Linked DNA regions of Arabidopsis thaliana. The protein of the gene in region 4 purifies or fractionates together with the protein of the main gene of each other region. This does not show direct contact. Each region holds a gene or a part of one and is shown on either strand. Other genes may lie near its edges. The genes, in order: AT5G48480, LIN2, hemf2 and AT1G76140.

Region 1 (4,675 bases), on a different chromosome or scaffold from region 4:
GTAATTGTAGTTGAAAAACGATTAGATGGTGAAAAAGTATCAACTATAAAAATACATATATTAAATCCACTAAACCATTTCGTAGACCAAATAATCATCTCGTATGTGCCATGCTTATGAGTTTATCACTAATTACACTAATAGGACTGAAATTCTCAAAGAAAATAAAACATTTATTTGAAAATAGAACAGCAAAAAAATTGAGAATCTAGAGATTTGGATTTATTCTTCGTTCTATATTTTGTCCCGTTTATATACTAACTGATGTTCTCATTTGTTTTGTGGTTAAAGTAGCTAACTGTTGTTGACACTTAACAGTAATACTCGCTAACTGTTTTATTTTCGTAATTTGTGAAACTTCTTAGAGTACTCTTACTTGGGCTCATATCAGGCCCAGTATTTTGCGGATGTTTATTAATGTGTTTTTTTTCGATTAAAAGAGAATTTTATATACAAATACAATGTGCAAGTTGAATTTTCTTTTTCCATTTGTAGTAAAAGATTTGTGGACTGGAAATTGTGTAATCGATACTTGATAATTGATAAGAATCCGAAAGCTTATGATTCTATGACAAAAGACCCTCTCCCAAAAGTAAAGTGGAAAAACACATCCCCGTGACTATATGGAGCAATCCAATCTGGTTCACGGGTTTCTCTAAAACTTGATATATATACACCTTCTCATGCACATTCATTTCAACACCACAAACACAAACAAACATATAGAAAAAGAGAGAGGAGGATAATAATATGGCGAGCAAGAAAGCAGCTATGGTTATGATGGCGATGATCGTGATAATGGCTATGTTGGTCGATACATCAGTAGCGATAGATCTCTGCGGCATGAGCCAGGATGAGTTGAATGAGTGCAAACCAGCGGTTAGCAAGGAGAATCCGACGAGCCCATCACAGCCTTGCTGCACCGCTCTGCAACACGCTGATTTTGCATGTCTTTGTGGTTACAAGAACTCTCCATGGCTCGGTTCTTTCGGTGTTGATCCTGAACTCGCTTCTGCTCTCCCCAAACAGTGTGGTCTAGCCAACGCCCCAACTTGTTAAAAGACTCTGTATACGTGTGTTTATGTTTTTTATTACTCCTATTCTAAATATCGGATGTTATTAATAAATCGTATTTTCTGCCAAATGGCGTTTATGGGTTAACCCCAAAAACTGGTCAAAAGAAAAGAAAGAGGACCAATCGAAAACTACACAAGGCCCAAACACGGAAGGGCAATTTCGAAAAATATGTAACCAATAAGCGATAGAGAGAAACCACAAAGCACAAATACAGAGGTTTATGGTTTCACTACCTCTGACACAGTATTCAACACTCTGACACCAAAACAACAAATATTCTTAATTCCGTCTTATCTAATCACTAACCATTTCATTTTCATTCCAAATAGACGATTATACCCTTAGTACTAAACCAACAAAAATGACAAAGAACACAGATTAAACACAGAACGATTATAGAAGATAGATAGAGAAGCGAAATCATCAACAAAACATAATATAGCCCGAGATTAATATGCAATTTCACCAAGATTAGAGTTTGTCAAAAGGGGTGAAATTAGAATCCGAAAGTCATTAGCCTACTCGATCCGGTTTACTGATTACCGGATTCCACAAAAGACAAAATAAAAGCATAAACCTAGGATAATAGATAGTTTTTTTTGTTCAGAAACCGACGAAGAATTAGATCCGACGACAGATTCTAAACCTCTTTGTTCTCGTCGGTGATCACGGTCTTCTTCTCCGCGAAGATCCAAGTGACACCAAAAGGATCCGTAACTTTTCCTTTGAATCCCAGTTCAACTTCTGCCTCCGTAACCTCCACTTTCACAGCTCCGGCGTCAACAGCTTTCGCAACGGCGGCTTCAGCATCCTTAGTTCCGAGAAGAAAAGTCACTCCCGAACCTTCCGATTTCGCACTGTTTAACGATTTAAAAAAGAAACAAAACCACATAAGTAAACAGTAATCGTATTTAAGAAAAGGCACAATCATCCACTTAAAATAGTTTTTTAAGCGTTATAAAAGTTTCCAAAAACTATTCATTTCAAAAACCTAAATCCAGATCTAAAACGAACAAAAAAATCGTGTTTAAGGGAGAGGAATAACTTCTAAACATGATTTATTCTCCAGATTTCTTCTAATAAAACAACCTAAAACCAGATCTAAAACGAAATCAAACACTAAACGAACAAAAACCTAAAAAAAAAACAGAAAACATGGAGATCTAGAAGCTAAACACCAAAACGAGAGAGAGAGACTTACGTAGAAAAACCAGGGAGAGAGGAAACGTCGCAAACAACGAAGGAAGAGCCAGCGAGATTAAGCTCAGAAGAGAGAACATGAGGAAGCTCTTGGTCAAGCTTACGCTTAGGGTAAAGAGAATGACCAGACTCGATCGCACCAAAAGCAGATTTGTAGAAAGTAACAGCGTCACCGACCTTTTGAGCTTCAACGAGCAACATCTGCTTGAACTCAGTGAAGACAAGATGCGTCTCCACCGGACCAGCACCGTTAGTAGCAACAGCAGTAACATCTTCTTGAGCCATCGCAGAGAGAAAATAAAACTTTGAGAAGAGAGATTCGTTTACGGTTAAGAGAGAAATGAAAATTGCGTGTGAAAGAACAATCTAGAGACGATGAGTGAGATATTTATGAAGGAAGCGGAGAAGCGGAATCGTTTCGTGTAACCTGACGAGGATTTCAAATGGATATAACAATTGCTCTCACGTCCGTGGATTTTTACCCTTACTTTTTGATTTATTTACGTGAATATGCCCCTACTAATCACTTTTCATTTACTACCCTATAGGACTCGTGTCTCGTTCGCATGTCTCCTCTATTAAACCGTTGGAAAGAAATCAATTAAAATTGGTTACTCGAATATTTTAATCTTTGTTATATACTGTGTCATCAAATATTTTAGTTTGTTATCATTGTGTAACTCTGAATGGTACACATAGGACAAAAGTTACGATTTTATTTTTTCCCATCCGTTTCGAATGGGTTTAAAGATATGTTAATATCACTACCATTATTCTTTTTTTTCTTCTATCCCTTTCCAATTTTATTTTACGTCACATGTAACTTTTGAGGTTTAATGGATGTGCATAGTTTAGTAGAGAGACATTATATGTCATATCAACCAACCAAATTACAAATTATATACCGATCAAGATTATTTCAGGACGCAATCTCTACCTGCGAGTCTTTCTTGATGTAACAAAAGATATTACTAATAAGCGATTTCTTCAAGAACTTGGAGGGTTTTTTGGTGAACCTGTGAACAGAAATAAACTATGATGAATGCAAAGAAACGAGACTTTGGTTGCAAATGTTTTGGTGTTATGAGGAACTTACCCATTCTAGATGTTGTGCTGTTATCCCGGAGGCATTACCCGAGTATATACTTCCCAGTACCTATCAAGATTGGATTTAAACATCACATAAAAAAGTGGTCAATGTTCTCTATTACTATCATCTGTTGAACATAGGGGATCGAGGAATGTTGGAAACATACCTTTGTGACAGTTTCTAGAAACATTCCTGGTCTTACTGGTAACGGTTTTCTTCCTGTAACGCTTCCCTGAGATCGCATCAAGTAGGCCAAGTAAGAAAAGAAGACATATCTTTGGTTCAGAGCCTACTGAAAAAGTCTTCTCTTTTAACAAAACAATGTGTCACTTGATCATACTTACCCTTCCATTTAATCCACTTGGTTTTCTTCCTTCGGTAGAAGAATCGTCTTCTTTGCTAAGATTATCTGCGCCTTCATCTTTCCCTTGCATTACATTCTGGATCATCTGCTGCACAGTCTTTCCAGGTTTCAAAGCTACCAATTTGGCTAAGAAATTCACCTGTTTGACGATCAAGCAACAAGTCACTGTATCTCAATGTTTAAAAAATGTTCACAAACACAGCATCATGGACATAATAGTTTGTCACACAAACCTCTGATTCAGGAAGAGTAGTGAAACCTCGGTCATTTCTTTCATCAAGTATACCTCCTCCCATCATGTTCCGGGCTTCCTCTCTAATCAAAACAAGCCTCGCTAGTAGTTTTCGATCCGGAATAGCTGGCCTTGTTTCCATAGTCTGCAAAAATCCTCAGACTTGTTCACATTCTCAAACTATCTCAAATACAGATTGATATCTATACTTAAACAAACACAAGTACCTCTAGCAAGTCATCAGCTTGATTAGCTATGTCATTCAGATTTGCTCCGGGTATATGAAGTTTAGTACCGTTCTCACTTTCAAAAGCCCCACCACCTGCAGCCACCCTACGCAGAAGCTCATGTCTACTTTCCTTTTTCGGGGTTCTACAGAGTAAACCAATCACCTGGACCTAAATATGGAGCAACACTTACACAAAATTAAAAACATGAAATGAAGCTAATGAAAAATTTAGAAAGTAAGAAGAAACTAATCTTAATATTACTCACATGAGGAGGGCATTTCTTGGTGAGATGAGATAAGACAGTCTCCTTGACGACCTCTAGTAAAGACTTTCTCTGAATCCAAAACAAAAATTCTTTAATCCTTTGTCCCAGCTTATGCTACAGAACTAATGGCAAGACTAACAACAGCCATAAAATCCAGAGAACATGTAATATTTGCTACACTACATTGCAAAAGCAATTCTAGCTATCCTGGTCGTTC
Region 2 (4,876 bases), about 28 Mb from region 4:
ATAAGACAAAAAACATTAAAGTAGTCGGGAAAAATAAAATATTAAAGTAAATATAAAAAATTGATGAACCTCATATTTAGTTCTTCATTTGGCTTTGTTTCATTATTAGCTCTTTTTACAATAAGACAAGTGAATCTATTTTTTTTCTTTTTAAGGATGTTATTGTCTTTGAATAATTTTAAATTTGTACCCTATTTATAGATTAAAGTATTGATTAACACTTACAGGCGTTAAGCACTATTTCTACATAAAAAAAATACACTGATTTGCATAGAATTCTGTACAAACAAACAAAAAATAGAAATTTATTGCTTTATTTGGGGATTATTAAATGATTCAGGGCGTAATAACGAGAGAGATGAAAAAAAAAGGAAATTATGACAGCTAACACTAAGAGGCTTGATGACAAAAAAAAAAAAAAAAAAAAATACTAAGAGGCCTAATGGCTTACATTAGGCTGGGCTGATCACTGTTTCTTCTCTTTGGAAAAGCTCAGATTTCAACACTTTGAGCAATAAGTTTTTGTTTTGGGTTCTTAAGGAGGATATGGATTTGGATTAGAGTCCGTAGATAAGCATGTCACTTGTGAAAAAGTTGAATGCACAAGTTGTCTTCGTTGCCATTGGCAAAAGAAAGAAACGAAACGACAGCGTAACAGACGCATGTTAACATGCACATCACAAGGCTAGAGTATAACTTTCTTTTCAGTAATCTAATCCTCTAAAGCTGCTCAAAACTTGCAAGAAACCAACTGTTTGCATTGGTAAGTTTTGACTTTTAACAACACTGCTCTTAGTTTGTCTTCATTGCCATCGCAAAGAGAGAAAGGAGATGATGTTAACATGCACATCACAAGACTAGATTTTGACCTGACCTTACACACTCTCTTTCTCCATCTCTCCAGTTATCTAATCCTCTAAAGCTGCTCAAAACTTACATGAAACAATGGAAATAAACTCACTCTTCTCACAACAATGGGAAACACAGGCTAGATCCACTCCTTCGGGTTGATGCAAGCATCCAATAGCTTCCACTCTTCGGTCCCCTCTTCCGGTTTCTGCACTCACAAACACCATTACTACATTGCCATATTCAATTGAATTTAGACCAAGTTTCTTCACAAATGAGGAAAGAACTTACATGGTCATATTCCCATCTTGCTGAAAGCGGAAGAGAGACGAGAATGCTCTCTATTCGTCCTCCTGTCTTCAGACCAAATGTCGTTCCCCGATCATATACCTTCCATCCATCATTACAAATACATTAGTGAACAAGGTTCATAACGAAAGATTGGAGAGATGAGAGTGAGAACAGAGAAAAAGACTAATGTTTTGGTCATAGTACCAAGTTGAATTCGACATATCGCCCTCGTCGCAACTGTTGCCATGCCTTGTGCTGCTCTGTAAATTCCATGTCTTTCCTTTTCTCTACTATAGGTATATAAGCCGGCACCACTGAGTTTGCGCATTCTGTAAACACCAATTGCTAAATTAGTCTACCAAGAAACTAGACCAATTAAAATAAATCGTTTGTTGTAGATTGAGGACAATCAGTCCCTTACCAGTGGCAAATGACAGAAGCATTTCCTGATCATAGTCATTAAGATCATCAAAAAATATCCCTCCAAGTCCTCGTCTCTCATCACGGTGCTGCAAGCAAAATCAAAGATTTCTAAGAAAAGTTTTCAAAGCCCTCACACTAACAATAGGCTTCTGAACGTCTCTCTAAGCAGTTTCTACCCTCTCAGATTTGACTATAACATCCCTAAACACAACTCAAAGAATAAGGCCCTCAGTTCCAGAAAATGCTTCAGGATCTCACAAAACTTACCTTGATGTAAAAGTAGTCATCACACCACTTCTTGAATCGGGGATAGAAGGAAGGGTCAAATTTGTCACAGGCTTGCTTTTGAATCTACAACAACAAAGAGCAGTTTATATAAAAGCAACTCCATGATCACAAAGCTCATATCTTTAGAACAAGGAATAAGGCTCAGTACCGAATGGAAATGCTTGACATCTTCTTCAAAGATGTAAGCAGGAGTGAAATCAGTGCCACCACCAAACCACCATTGCCTTGGAGCTCCAGGAACATCTGCGCCGTTGAAAATTAAAAACTTAAGACTGTTGTCCAAACAAAAGACAACAACTTTACAATCTCACTGAGACTTTAGCTTTTTTACCCTTTGGAGCATCTGTCTCGAAATAGCGATAATTGAAATGCAGGGTTGGGGCAAAAGGGTTCTTGGGATGCAAAACCTAGAATCACACAGAAATCCGTAATGATAAAACATGAGAACCTCCAAGAATCGTAAAATTGAAGGGAGAGATTCATTACCGAGCTGACTCCAGCAGCGAAGAACGGAACAGGACCAGGTTTCTGATCAGAAGCTGAGCCCTTTGCAGCTCTATAAGCTTCAGGAGGCATAACACCATAAACCACAGAGACATTAACACCAGCTTTCTCAAAGACATTCCCGTCCTGCAACACACGACTGATTCCACCGCCACCACCAGGTCGAGACCAAACATCTTCTTTAAACTTAGGACCGCCTTCTATAGCTTCAATTGCATCACAAACACTGTCTTGAGCAGCCCTAATCATAGTCTCGAAACGAGCCCTGACGGAAGAAGAAGAAGAAGATGGAGTGACGTCATCAGAATCCCTAAGGAAAGTAAAGGGTCGTTCAGTTTCGGGAACTTCTTTCTCAATTGAGACTGAACATCGCAAGGCGAGATTAGGTTTATTTCTGATTGGACGGGAGAATCTGAGAGTAGAGGGATTGGGAGAATAATGAAGACGATGAGAGGAGAAAGGAGCGAAAGTAGGAGAAGAGAGGAGAGTCGACGAGTGAGAAGCCATGTTTGATCCGAATTTGGATTTGATGCTGAAGAAGAAGATGATGATGGAGAGATATTAAATGATAAGAAGTCTTCGTCGTCCACTGATTTTGACCGCTCTTCCTTTTTATTTAACAGCTCAAGGTAAAAGAAAACACAGTTCCAGTCTTCTCAGACTAAACCACTTCTGAATTATTTAGCCGAAACCAAACCAGACACGAAATTAAAATTGCGGTTTAATTTGGTCGAACCGAAGATATTGATACACAATAGGCTCTTATCCTTCTTAACGGGCTTAATTGCCCAAATTAGGCCCAAAACGATTAGCCGGTTTACGGCACTATGCTATTTTGATGTGGATAAATCATGGTCATGTAATATATCTTTATCTATCGTTAGAATCTGTGATAAACAAAACAAAAGTGTATTATAGATTCGAATCCTATCTAATTATTATTTCAAATAACCAAATAGATGTAATTACAACCGTCTTATTCTTTCCAAAAAATAGTTAATCGCTGACAAAAGAAAATCCGGTTGGGCCCATCACGTTGTCTATATATTCATGATCATATAGAGAGTTCAGCCGCTTGACCTGCGAGGAATTCAAGAAAACCCTGCTTCACAGAGCAGTATTACACAAGAGACGAAAGAGCACTTTTAACCTTAGCAATTATATAGGTACCTTAGCTAGTTCTTCTTCGAATCTATACGATCGATATGAAGATTCTTCCGGTTGGATCACGGTTTTGTCCGACGGATCTAGGGTTGGTGAGGCTTTATCTTCGAAACAAGGTGGAGAGAAATCAGAGCAGTTTCATAACAACTATGGACATCCACCAAGACTACCCTTGGCTTCTTCCTCACGTAAACAATCCTTTGTTCAATAACAACGAGTGGTACTACTTTGTTCCGCTTACTGAACGAGGTGGCAAGATATTAAGCGTACACCGGAAGGTAGCCGCAAGAGGAGGAAGCGAAGGCGGCACTTGGAGAAGCAACGATGGGAAAAAAGAGATCAAGGACGGACACATGCAAAAGGGTGATGGGTTACGAGCAGTCTTTCACGTACCACAGGAGAGTGCATGGAAAGCTTGTCAAGACCGATTGACAGAAGATGGAGTATTCTCTTCACTAGAGTGATGACCTCCAAAAGGTTGTCTTGTGTCGGATCCGATACAAGAAAGAGGCGAACGTCAACGAGTTTGGACTCGTTAACCATCAGGCTCATCAGACTCAGGTGGCGGAGAACACCAACAACATCTTACGGAACCAAGTAGTGTAAGAAGAGGATGCTTTAACCGGTTTTGCTGATCAGCTTGAGATGATGCTAGAGGGACAAGAAGACCGTGAGCAGAAAGAAGAGGCTGATTTAACCGGTTTTGCTGATAGCCTTGAGACGATGCTAGAGGGACAAGAAGATCATGAGCAGCCAGAAGATGCTGATTTAACCGGTTTTGCTGATAGCCTTGAGACGATGCTAGAGGGACATGAAGATCGTGAGCAGCCAGAAGAGGCTGAATTAACCGGTTTTGCTAATGATGACCTTGAGACGATGATGCTAGATGGAGAATAATCTCGCGAAGTTACTCAACAACAACAACAACAACAACAACAACAACAACGTCAAGAAGATTGTGACGTTACTCAAGAGCAAGAAAAAGATGATGTGATGGTACTGATAAACAATCCTAATGATGCCCTCGCATTGGGGAATTATGAGATTATTGATCTAACTAGGGTTGATAAATGATACGACACAAACCAGAGAGGATAGAATTATATTTTAGTGGGTTGAGTTGATATGTGACAAAGATTACTATAGACATATGGTTAGTGTATTTGTGTAACTCCGGTAAAGGAGATATCATAAAAATAGTGGATTTTCCGGGGTAAAATTCTAGTTTAACGAACTTTATTTTAGTTTGTACTTTTGTTTTTCCATAACTCTACAATTAATATAGAGTTGCAGCAGTAATGTTAACTATTTAGCTATGAATTTCAATTGTGTACTTAAAAGTAATGTTTTTGGTTTT
Region 3 (4,121 bases), on a different chromosome or scaffold from region 4:
GTAAATTTAAAAACATTGGCAAGTTGTGTTGTGTAAGGTAAGCCATAATAACAACACCCATGTATTATTTGTGTGTGTGTGTGTATATCCGGGGACTAAATTGTTTCTTTGTCCCCATTGGACGACATCGAAGAAAAAATATCACGGGCGTTTCTTGTATCAAGACAAATGAGACAGTGACGTTTACTTAATCCGAAATTGTTTAACCTAACACAAGTCCCACTCGTTGAAACTTGGAAACGATTTTTATACTAAACCAAATCATCAGATTCAATGTTATCACTCTATTTGAGTGTTGTTGTGTTCTGTCTAGTGAACAGTTACCGAGCAAGTGGCATGCGTGCGTGCACCGAGAGGCTCGGCTATTTGAGCCAACGGCTCTTATTTTTACTGTGTCAGTAAAAAAAATTAAAAGTTAATTACTTTTATCATCATCATCACGATTGGTACTATATACTCCATCATCAACCATCATGATCTTTGTTTGTCAGTGACTCATGATGAGATGACGCCAAATTACAATTTCTTTATCTCACTCACTTTTCATTAGACTCTTTACTCTTTTAAGGCTTTTAAAGACAAAACTAATAAAAGAGCTAATTGGGGAAATAACCACAATTAATTAACTAAAGCCACTCTTTTGGATTGATACAAGCATCTAATAGTTTCCATTCCTCAGTTCCTTCTTCAGGTTTCTGCATCCGCAACAAGAGACAAACACCATCAGTAGTTAAGTTTCATTAGCTAAGATGAAACAAGATTTAGTTTCTTGAATCAAGAAACTTTACATGGTCATATTCTCATCTCGCAGATAGCGGAAGAGAGACAAGGATACTCTCTATTCGTCCTCCAGTCTTCAGACCAAATGTTGTTCCGCGGTCATACACCTTTATTTTTACCATCAGCAACAAAACATGAGACGAGGTTTCAAGAGATATTTATACAGAAAGAAAAACAAAGCTAGTAGTATCCAATTACGAAGTTGAATTCAACATATCTGCCCCTTCGCAGCTGTTGCCATGCCTTGTGTTGCTCGTTAAATGGTGTGTCTTTACGTTTCTCTACTATGGGTATAGAAGCTGGTATCACTGAGCTTGCACATTCTGCAAAATTCATCTCAGTATTCAAATAAGTCAACTAGGAAGTTTCTTAAAACAAAATGTCACAAGTTATATCTTGGTCACTACCAGTGGCGAATGACAGAAGCATCTCTTGATCATAGTCATTCAAATCATCAAAAAATATCCCTCCAAGCCCTCGCCTCTCATCACGGTGCTGCAGGCAAGACCGTAAAGTTTTTAGTGTTTTCAAATCCTAGGCGACAACTTATCACTGTATCAACCTAAACAAAACCTTGAGGCTCTAAATCTATTCTTGCACATACATGACTCTAAAACTAAGGTCTTTTAGTTCCACAAAGTGCTAAGATCTCACCAAACAATCAGAATAGCGTTAAAGGAACTGCAGACCTTAATGTAAAAGTAGTCATCACACCATTTCTTAAACCAAGGGTAGAACGACGGATCAAATTTATCGCAGGCTTGCTTTTAAACCTACACAAAGAAAGATATTTCAATCAGCATCTCCATAATCACAAAGCTTCAAACTTTCAGAACAATGGATCAGGTTTAACGACCGAATGAAAGTGCTTGACGTCTTCTTCAAAGATGTAAGCAGGTGTGAAGTCAGTCCCACCACCGAACCACCATTGCCTCGGAGCTCCAGGAACATCTACAAGTGATGAAATCAAATGCTTCATCCAACCAAAAAATTGGAACTTTACACTTCTCAAAGAGGATTAAGGTCTTACCCTTTGGAGCATCGGTCTCGAAATAGCGGTAATTGAAATGCAGAGTCGGAGCAAAAGGGTTCTGAGGATGCAAAACCTAGAATGTAGGATCAAGCTCAATCAAAGAACTCAGAGACCATATCAACAGCAATGTCGACTGATAGAGAGAGAGAGAGAGAACTCACCGAGCTGGTTCCAGCGGCAAAGAACGGAATCGGACCAGGTTTTTGCTCAGACGTGGCAGCTTTAGCAGCTCTATAAGCTTCAGGAGGCATAACACCATAAATCACAGAGACATTAACTCCAGCTTTCTCCCATACATTTCCGTCTTGCAAAATACGACTGATTCCACCACCTCCACCGGGTCGAGACCAAACATCTTCCTTGAATTTAGGACCTTCTTCGACTGCTTCAATGGCTTCACAGACTTTATCTTGAGCAGTTCTTATCATTTTCTCGAAACGAGCCCTAACCGAATAAGAAGAAGATTGAGTTTGATCGCCGTCGGAGACTCTGAGGAAAGTGAAAGGTCTTTCTGTTTCCGGAACTTCTTTCTCGATTGAGACTGAGCATCGCAAGTCGAAATGTGGTCTCTTTACGGAACGAGGAAAGTGGTAAGTGAAGTAATTCGGAGAAGATTTGAGACGATGAGAAGAGAAGAGAATGAAGGAAGAAGGAGAAGTGAAGAGAGTCGAAGAGTGAGACGCCATTTTCAGCGATCGATCGAATCCAAGTTTTCACCTTTTTGCTGAAGATAGAAGATGATAAGGAATCGTCAAAGCTCTGTTTTTTTAACCAAACCAAACCCGGTTATTTCCGGTTTAGTTCAACCAAAAAACCTCATACTCGGTTTAGTTCTCTTCTTTATTTATCTACTCTGTAAGACTGTAACAGAGAGAACAACGTTGATCTGTTCCTTACAGTACAAGCAACTATTAAACATGGAATGATCTTTGTTTACTTGGAAAGCAAGCGAGTGAGAGAAGAAGAGTCAAAGACAGGAGGACTGCAAGTGAAGTGTTGACAAACAAGAGCCACCACTTTCTCTGAGTTTCTGTTCTTCTTAGCCATCTCAGCTACATTACTGTTATGCTCTTCCCAAAACTCGATTTCATCAGAACTAGAGGGATCTATGTGAATCACCTGCTCAGTAAAACCACCAAAAGTCACAAATCTTGAATCTAGAAATTTGGATAATTTTTTAAGCTCTTACCGTTTTATTAGGATCATAGACTGAATGTGCTGCAGAAAGCATGTTGGTAAGCTCTGGGGAAGACTTAGAACCAACCAATACAACTTGTTTCCTCGACGGAACAGAGATCATATCTGCGGAGCAGCACATTAATGGCACAGCCACCGCCAGTTCTCTTAACCTCAACTCAAAGACTGCCTGCAAAAACAACAACAAAGAGACTCAATAATCTCTTTCTATGAATAGCAAATGGGATTAGTTGTTTGTTTGTTTACCAGGAGACGATGTGCCGTGTTGAGGTAGGATTCAGCTTTTTCTCCGGCGACTATGGAAGCTAACCTCACAAGATTGATAGCAGAAACAGAGTTCCCTGAAGGTTCTGCACCATCATGATCTTCTTTTACACGAAGAAGAACCGATGGGTCTTGTCCTTCAGTATTGAAGTATGCTCCTCCTTCTCGGTCCAGATATAACTCATCCTAAAATGTTTTTAACTTTTTTAGCCAAAATCAAGAACTTTAACAAATCGAGCTAGTAAAGATCTCACTTGCCTGTGTTTCTTGAAGTTTAATCGCCCACTTAAGCCATTCGATCCCACCTCCATTCTCGTAAAGATCGAGTAAACCAGAGATCAAGAAAGCATAATCGTCTAAGAAGGCAGGAGCTTTGGATGGCCCCTGTCTGTAACTGTGTTGTAATCTGCGAGACTGCTCATCATAGAGATTTCCTCTGATAAACAAAGCTGCTTTCTCTGCAACCTCTATGTAATCCTCTGGCTGAAAAATGAGTCTTCTAATTACAAAACGGTCAAAGAAGAAATTAAAGGAAAGGGTGTAGCATTCATTACCTGACTATTCACCACAGGGAAATAATATTTGGTGCTTTCAGGCTCAGCCTTAAGAATCTTGGAAGCTCTTGCGAAAGACGAGATAACAAGACCGTTCCAAGACACGATTATCTATGAAAGAAATCTTAAATGGTTAACAAATCTGAAGAAACAGTAGAGAAGACAACATGAGAATTCCAAGAAGAGTATTACCTTATCATCTAGATGCGGCTTAGGTCGCTTCAATCTGACATCGAAAAGCTTTCTTCGGCATTCACCTAATATCTCCTGATACTTCTCAACAGAGAGGCTAA
Region 4 (6,012 bases):
AAATATCGAGTTCAATCTTAAAATGGAGTATTTTTCTTAGGCATTATTATGACGTTTTCTTTTGTTATAGTCGGAATGTATACATTTTCTGTATAGTCACACTCACATGTTTCTATAGATGTATTTGATGTAAGTGATCTAAGCTCAGTATTTTCAATTGAGGTATATATATGCTGAGTTATTGTTGTCCTTGCGCTTATTTTGATATTATAGGTACTTTGTTTTTTTCTCTTACATTTATAGTTACGTTATAGTCTTATAGACTATTCCCACATTTTTGTGTTTATTTATATCGGTTGTTGACTAATTAGGTTTTAGATGGTACCAAAATGATTTGCAATTCTATGTGGAAATATGAAAGCAAAACAAGTTTACAATACGACTTTTGCCAAGCTCTTAGCATTGTTACGATTATTGGATTCTAACGTTTTTTTCTTCTTTAGGTAAAATGAGGATTTTAATGTTGAGAAAGTAAGCTTCGGATTTATCATGTAATCGTGATGATATGACATTCGATGACTTGGTAGATATGTATAATCCTCGACGTCTCTGTTGTGCATCTAGCATGGTTTATAGGGGCTCATTAAACAGGGTGTAGATTTATACATTTACCATAAGTTTGAAAAATTACAACTCCACGTCAAAGAGAAAATAAAGAAAATAATAAGAATTCAACAAAAACTTTCCCTAGTAACCTCATCATTGGAAGTGTGTCAGTAGCATTTAAATTATCCTTTCAAGGCAAATCTCCAAACTTTTCTACGCGATTTAACTATGCGCGTGACTCCCAAATTTCCTTTCTCGTTTATTATGTAGGTCAAAGTTGCTTTTATCTTGTAATTTTTTTCTTATGTTCGGTCAATTCACTAAAACTCCAGTAATTATTTATCTGTAGTGTAGCGTATGATTATTATTCTGCAAACTCTGCGTAATAGAGACTTTTTAAAAAACAAATGCAGTAGTCCAAACCTACTTTCTAGAAAGAAAAAGAAAAAATGTTCTTTAGTTTCCCTCCTAAACGGTGAAAAGTCTCTTTGTCGCAATTTGTTTACACATATCCTGATAAAACGAGTTTATTGGGCTTTATGTTGGGCTCGTTTATTCAGCAGGTCTGAACCTCAAAACTATATTATAAAGTTTAAGCCCAAAAGGCTTTAAATATGGTATCAACAACATATGCTTATGCTATGCATCATTTTCGCAAACTATGGTGTTGTATGAATTAGTGGGTTGTTCAAGATGTTTTTTCTTAAGCGAAAACCTATTTATACAGTTTGCAATGGATATAAGCTTTTGCAAAGTCTACAAAAGTCACATCTCACCACAAAAAAAAAAGGTCTACAAAATCACATGTATCTTTGGAAAAGTATCCATGCTTAGATATTTCATATTTCTGATCCAATTATCCAAACAAACATGTCAACAGATAAAATTAAAAAAAAAGCTAATCTTTTCAAAATATACAAGTCAAACTGTCAGAATATAACAATTTAGACTAGTTGATAAAAATATATTTTTGAATAAGAACATTTTAGATTAAATTTTGGTACCATAAAATGTTTGATAGAACGACGAAACCATTTTGACATATTAACGGCAATCTCGGGGAAGAAGAAGAAGCGGTAGAGAGAAAACCGATGCTCACAGCGTTTGCAAGTCACGCGCGTTCTCACGTTTTCGCGTTTGTTACCGTCCCAACAATCACGCGCCGCCTCCGTATAAATATCTTACGCCAATCACCTCTCTCCTCTTCTCTTCTCCTAAACGAAACCTTCTCCAATCGACCCAATTCTGTTTCTCGTCGTTGTTATTGTTCGAGCTCTGCGATAATGGGTTCTTCTTCGGTGTTTGGCGAGCAATTACAGTATCCTGCGACTCGGCGTGATGATTCCGTCGTCGATGACTATCACGGCGTCAAGATCGGAGATCCGTACCGTTGGTAAGAGTTCGTTTCCAGCTGCAATTTCTCTTATTATGCTTTTAGGTTTCCGGATGAGAACGATATTTCCAAATGAGATTTTGAACACATCGCTCTGAGGAATTAGCAGACATTGGATTTGACTTGGAGATTGACCTTGAGAGAAATTCCTAAATTGTTCGTGATTTCGTGTGATTTGTTCATTTTTGCTATGATTTAGCGTTGAATTTGTCATTCTGGATTGTTGCTAGGTTAGAGGATCCTGATGCTGAAGAAGTGAAGGAGTTTGTGCAGAGCCAAGTGAAATTGACAGATTCTGTACTTGAAAAGTGTGAAACAAAGGAGAAGCTCCGTCAGAATATAACGAAACTTATTGATCATCCTCGTTACGATTCACCATTCAGGCAAGGGGATAAGTACTTTTACTTCCATAACACTGGTCTACAGGCTCAAAGTGTGCTTTATATGCAGGTATTTGTTGAGATAAAGGCGTTTGTATCAGTGCATACTCTGTTCTAGCTTTGTTTTCTCATTGAATTTGATTGCATTCGGGTTCAGGATAATCTGGATGCTGAGCCAGAGGTTTTGCTTGATCCGAACACTCTTAGTGATGATGGAACAGTGGCCTTAAACACCTTTTCTGTCAGCGAGGATGCTAAGTACTTGGCCTATGGTCTTAGTTCAAGTGGTAGCGACTGGGTGACGATTAAGCTGATGAAAATCGAGGATAAGAAAGTGGAGCCTGATACTTTATCATGGGTATGGTCTTAAAGATGGTACTGACTAGTGGGGTTGATCAATAAAGTTCTACCGTCCAGATTTCTGATAGATTTATGTTCCTCTCGTGGAACAGGTTAAGTTTACCGGCATTACATGGACGCACGACAGTAAAGGATTTTTCTATGGTCGCTACCCAGCTCCCAAGTAAGTACAAGATGTGTTGGAAGAAGCCTTTCGATATAGTTCAGAAAGCTAAGTTGATTTACCAATTTTATCTGTTTTTGTTTTGCAGAGAAGGAGAGGATATTGATGCTGGCACTGAGACTAATTCTAACCTTTATCATGAGCTGTATTACCATTTCATTGGGACGGATCAATCTCAAGATATCTTATGCTGGAGAGATAATGAGAATCCCAAATATATGTTCGGAGCTGAAGTCACTGACGATGGGAAGGTAACACACCAAGTTCTTATGTTGGTTCTTTAACTATGGTTACGCTCTTAAACCTCAAATTTATTTTTTCTGCGCATACTTACGGAAAATCATTTTGATCGTTTCCCTTTTTCTAAATGATGGTCATGACTTCAAACTGTGTTACCTAGTTTTGTAGATCTGGAACTTGGATTCTTAGTTTTAGGTCTAATCAATGTTATTTCTTCTTGTAGTATCTGATCATGAGCATTGGAGAGAGTTGTGACCCTGTCAACAAATTATACTACTGCGATATGACTTCATTGTCAGGAGGTCTTGAGAGTTTCAGAGGAAGCAGCAGTTTTCTTCCATTCATTAAGCTTGTTGACACATTTGACGCGCAATATAGTGTTATCTCAAATGATGAGACTCTGTTTACTTTCTTGACGAATAAAGATGCCCCTAAGTACAAATTAGTCCGGGTTGATCTAAAGGAACCAAACAGCTGGACTGATGTTGTTGAAGAACACGAAAAGGATGTCTTAGCATCAGCTTGTGCTGTCAATGGGAATCACCTGGTCGCATGCTACATGAGCGATGTAAAGCATATTCTGCAAATTAGGGACTTGAAATCTGGTTCATTGCTTCACCAATTACCTCTAGATATTGGTTCAGTATCTGATGTTTCTGCTCGGCGCAAGGACAATACCTTTTTCTTTAGCTTTACTAGCTTTCTCACTCCTGGTGTGATTTACAAGTGTGACTTAGCCAATGAATCTCCAGAAGTTAAGGTATTCCGGGAGGTTACTGTACCCGGATTTGACAGGGAAGCATTTCAAGCCATTCAGGTAACACACTCTCTTGTAGCGTCTTCCTGTTTCTTTCATAACTACTTTTTACTTTGCATATGTTAAAGTGGTTTCTGCTCCTCTTTATAGGTCTTCTATCCCAGCAAGGATGGAACAAAGATACCTATGTTTATTGTGGCGAAAAAGGATATTAAGCTTGATGGATCACACCCATGTTTGCTCTATGCATATGGTGGGTTTAACATAAGCATAACACCGTCTTTCAGTGCCAGCCGTATTGTGCTTAGCAAGCATCTCGGTGTTGTTTTCTGCTTTGCAAACATTCGGGGTGGTGGGGAGTATGGTGAGGAATGGCACAAAGCAGGTTCACTTGCCAAAAAGCAGAACTGTTTCGATGACTTTATCTCTGGGGCAGAGTATCTCGTGTCCGCTGGTTATACACAACCGAGCAAGCTGTGTATTGAAGGTGGCAGCAATGGTGGACTCCTTGTCGGTGCTTGCATAAATCAGGCAAGTTTATATAGCCAATAATTCAGGACAAAAACGAATAATATGAAGCTAATAATTTGTAATTTTCGTCTCATTTAGTTGCCACACTTATACATAAATTTTCAATTCTGCTGCACAGAGACCGGACCTTTATGGTTGTGCTTTGGCTCATGTGGGCGTCATGGACATGCTACGGTTTCACAAATTCACTATAGGTGAGTGAGTTCAGTTATCTGCAATTTGTTTTGTTTGATTTTTTGCTTAATGTAATTCTAACTTGAGGTGTTATGTATGTATAGGTCATGCCTGGACATCTGATTATGGTTGCTCTGAGAATGAAGAGGAGTTTCATTGGCTGATAAAGTAAGTATATGAACTTATGATATGATGTTGTATTGATTTGTTTCCCAATGCTGATACAAAGTTACAATCTGGGTGTGAATGTATAAAGGTACTCGCCTCTGCACAATGTGAAGAGGCCATGGGAGCAACAAACCGATCACTTAGTTCAGTATCCATCAACTATGCTACTGACTGCTGATCACGATGACAGAGTTGTGCCACTTCACTCTTTGAAGTTGCTTGCTGTCCGTTTCCAGACTTTATTTCTTTAATGTTTAATTTATTTTCAATCTTACCTTAAATAGCCAGCAGATTGTTAAAACTCGTATGTATACATCTGCAGACGTTGCAGCACGTGCTGTGCACAAGCTTAGACAATAGTCCTCAGATGAACCCCATAATTGGTCGTATTGAAGTCAAGGCTGGCCATGGTGCTGGTCGCCCAACCCAAAAGATGGTAATGATTTTAGAAATTCTCGTTGCTTAAGCGTTACATCATATAACATACATTTTCCCATGGTTAACTGATATTGAGATGTTCAACAGATTGATGAAGCGGCTGATCGGTATTCGTTCATGGCAAAGATGGTGAATGCTTCATGGACGGAGTAAAAAAAATTCCTTTATCTACAGGCACCAAATATCTTTTCTCAATATCTTCTGTCCAAACAAGGACGTTGTATGAGTTAGTGACAATTACATGTAAACACATGTTTCAGTTTTTTCTCAGGCTTTATGTTCCAGTTCATTGACACCCAAAAAGGATTTTCTTCAATGCATTTTGCTTCATCCGGCATGTGCATTTTGCGTCACTCAACATTTATTACAACAGTAACACGATACAACTAACCATTTCAGTAAATTGTGACCGTCATCAAAGAGTGTTTATTGATGGCTCAATGGCTCATTACGCCAAGCAAACATCAAGAGTCTTCTGACATGTTTATTACCTTTGCAATATTATGACAGCCCAATATATCTAAGGACCTAACATTCTAAAGTGACGAAGATAACCCACGAATATCAACATAACCAGCTAACACAGTTTTGTTCCTTTCCTTCACTTTCGTCTGATATATAACCCTGTGAATACATCAAAAGCTAAGTTCAAGTTTTGAATATACCAGTGATATGGATAATCTATGTAATATATCGCCAAAGAACAATACAAGGTAGAGAGAGAGACAGAGTTCTACCTCAAGCCTTCAAGCCACATTTCGGTTATCAGAGTTTCGCCAGGAAAAACAGTCGTGAGGAATCGTCCAGATATGGTTTTGACAGCAGTTGGGTCACCCTTGCAAACACACTTGATGATTGCCTT

The links.
Region 1: the proteins of AT1G76140 (region 4) and AT5G48480 fractionate together in Arabidopsis thaliana (co-fractionation; one large-scale study listed by BioGRID). This does not show direct contact.
Region 2: the proteins of AT1G76140 (region 4) and LIN2 fractionate together in Arabidopsis thaliana (co-fractionation; one large-scale study listed by BioGRID). This does not show direct contact.
Region 3: the proteins of AT1G76140 (region 4) and hemf2 fractionate together in Arabidopsis thaliana (co-fractionation; one large-scale study listed by BioGRID). This does not show direct contact.

What each region holds. Positions count from the first base shown.
Region 1 is NC_003076.8:19,642,701-19,647,375, reverse strand, and holds AT5G48480 (Lactoylglutathione lyase / glyoxalase I family protein), read right to left. Parts: upstream 2,838-4,675; 5' UTR 2,563-2,837; coding exon 2,279-2,562; intron 1,935-2,278; coding exon 1,718-1,934; 3' UTR 1,060-1,717; coding exon of another isoform or gene 751-1,059; 3' UTR 536-750; downstream 1-535. Other genes in the region: DIR1 (Bifunctional inhibitor/lipid-transfer protein/seed storage 2S albumin superfamily protein), read left to right, coding at 751-1,059; AT5G48470 (uncharacterized protein), read right to left, coding at 3,249-3,293, 3,374-3,433, 3,534-3,599, 3,712-3,870, 3,965-4,108, 4,191-4,361, 4,459-4,527.
Region 2 is NC_003070.9:868,314-873,189, forward strand, and holds LIN2 (Coproporphyrinogen III oxidase), read right to left. Parts: upstream 2,996-4,876; 5' UTR 2,863-2,995; coding exon 2,338-2,862; intron 2,259-2,337; coding exon 2,183-2,258; intron 2,095-2,182; coding exon 2,000-2,094; intron 1,915-1,999; coding exon 1,831-1,914; intron 1,650-1,830; coding exon 1,562-1,649; intron 1,470-1,561; coding exon 1,345-1,469; intron 1,240-1,344; coding exon 1,141-1,239; intron 1,058-1,140; coding exon 989-1,057; 3' UTR 540-988; downstream 1-539. Other genes in the region: NAC006 (NAC domain containing protein 6), read left to right, coding at 3,561-3,899, 3,979-4,080, 4,132-4,369, 4,427-4,593. UniProt on the Arabidopsis thaliana protein: Key enzyme in heme biosynthesis. Catalyzes the oxidative decarboxylation of propionic acid side chains of rings A and B of coproporphyrinogen III.
Region 3 is NC_003075.7:1,411,192-1,415,312, reverse strand, and holds hemf2 (Coproporphyrinogen III oxidase), read right to left. Parts: upstream 2,529-4,121; 5' UTR 2,500-2,528; coding exon 1,975-2,499; intron 1,887-1,974; coding exon 1,811-1,886; intron 1,732-1,810; coding exon 1,610-1,731; 3' UTR 1,554-1,609; coding exon of another isoform or gene 1,548-1,553; 3' UTR 789-1,547; intron 696-788; 3' UTR 531-695; downstream 1-530. Other genes in the region: AT4G03200 (catalytics), read right to left, coding at 2,747-2,932, 3,003-3,179, 3,257-3,460, 3,533-3,757, 3,829-3,939, 4,021-4,121. UniProt on the Arabidopsis thaliana protein: Key enzyme in heme biosynthesis. Catalyzes the oxidative decarboxylation of propionic acid side chains of rings A and B of coproporphyrinogen III.
Region 4 is NC_003070.9:28,569,550-28,575,561, forward strand, and holds AT1G76140 (Prolyl oligopeptidase family protein), read left to right. Parts: upstream 1-1,580; 5' UTR 1,581-1,637; coding exon 1,638-1,939; intron 1,940-2,169; coding exon 2,170-2,389; intron 2,390-2,476; coding exon 2,477-2,677; intron 2,678-2,771; coding exon 2,772-2,842; intron 2,843-2,930; coding exon 2,931-3,093; intron 3,094-3,305; coding exon 3,306-3,899; intron 3,900-3,989; coding exon 3,990-4,370; intron 4,371-4,488; coding exon 4,489-4,564; intron 4,565-4,648; coding exon 4,649-4,712; intron 4,713-4,800; coding exon 4,801-4,936; intron 4,937-5,034; coding exon 5,035-5,148; intron 5,149-5,190; exon of another isoform or gene 5,191-5,237; coding exon 5,238-5,303; 3' UTR 5,304-5,487; downstream 5,488-6,012. Other genes in the region: ECH2 (enoyl-CoA hydratase 2), read right to left, coding at 5,687-5,774, 5,888-6,012.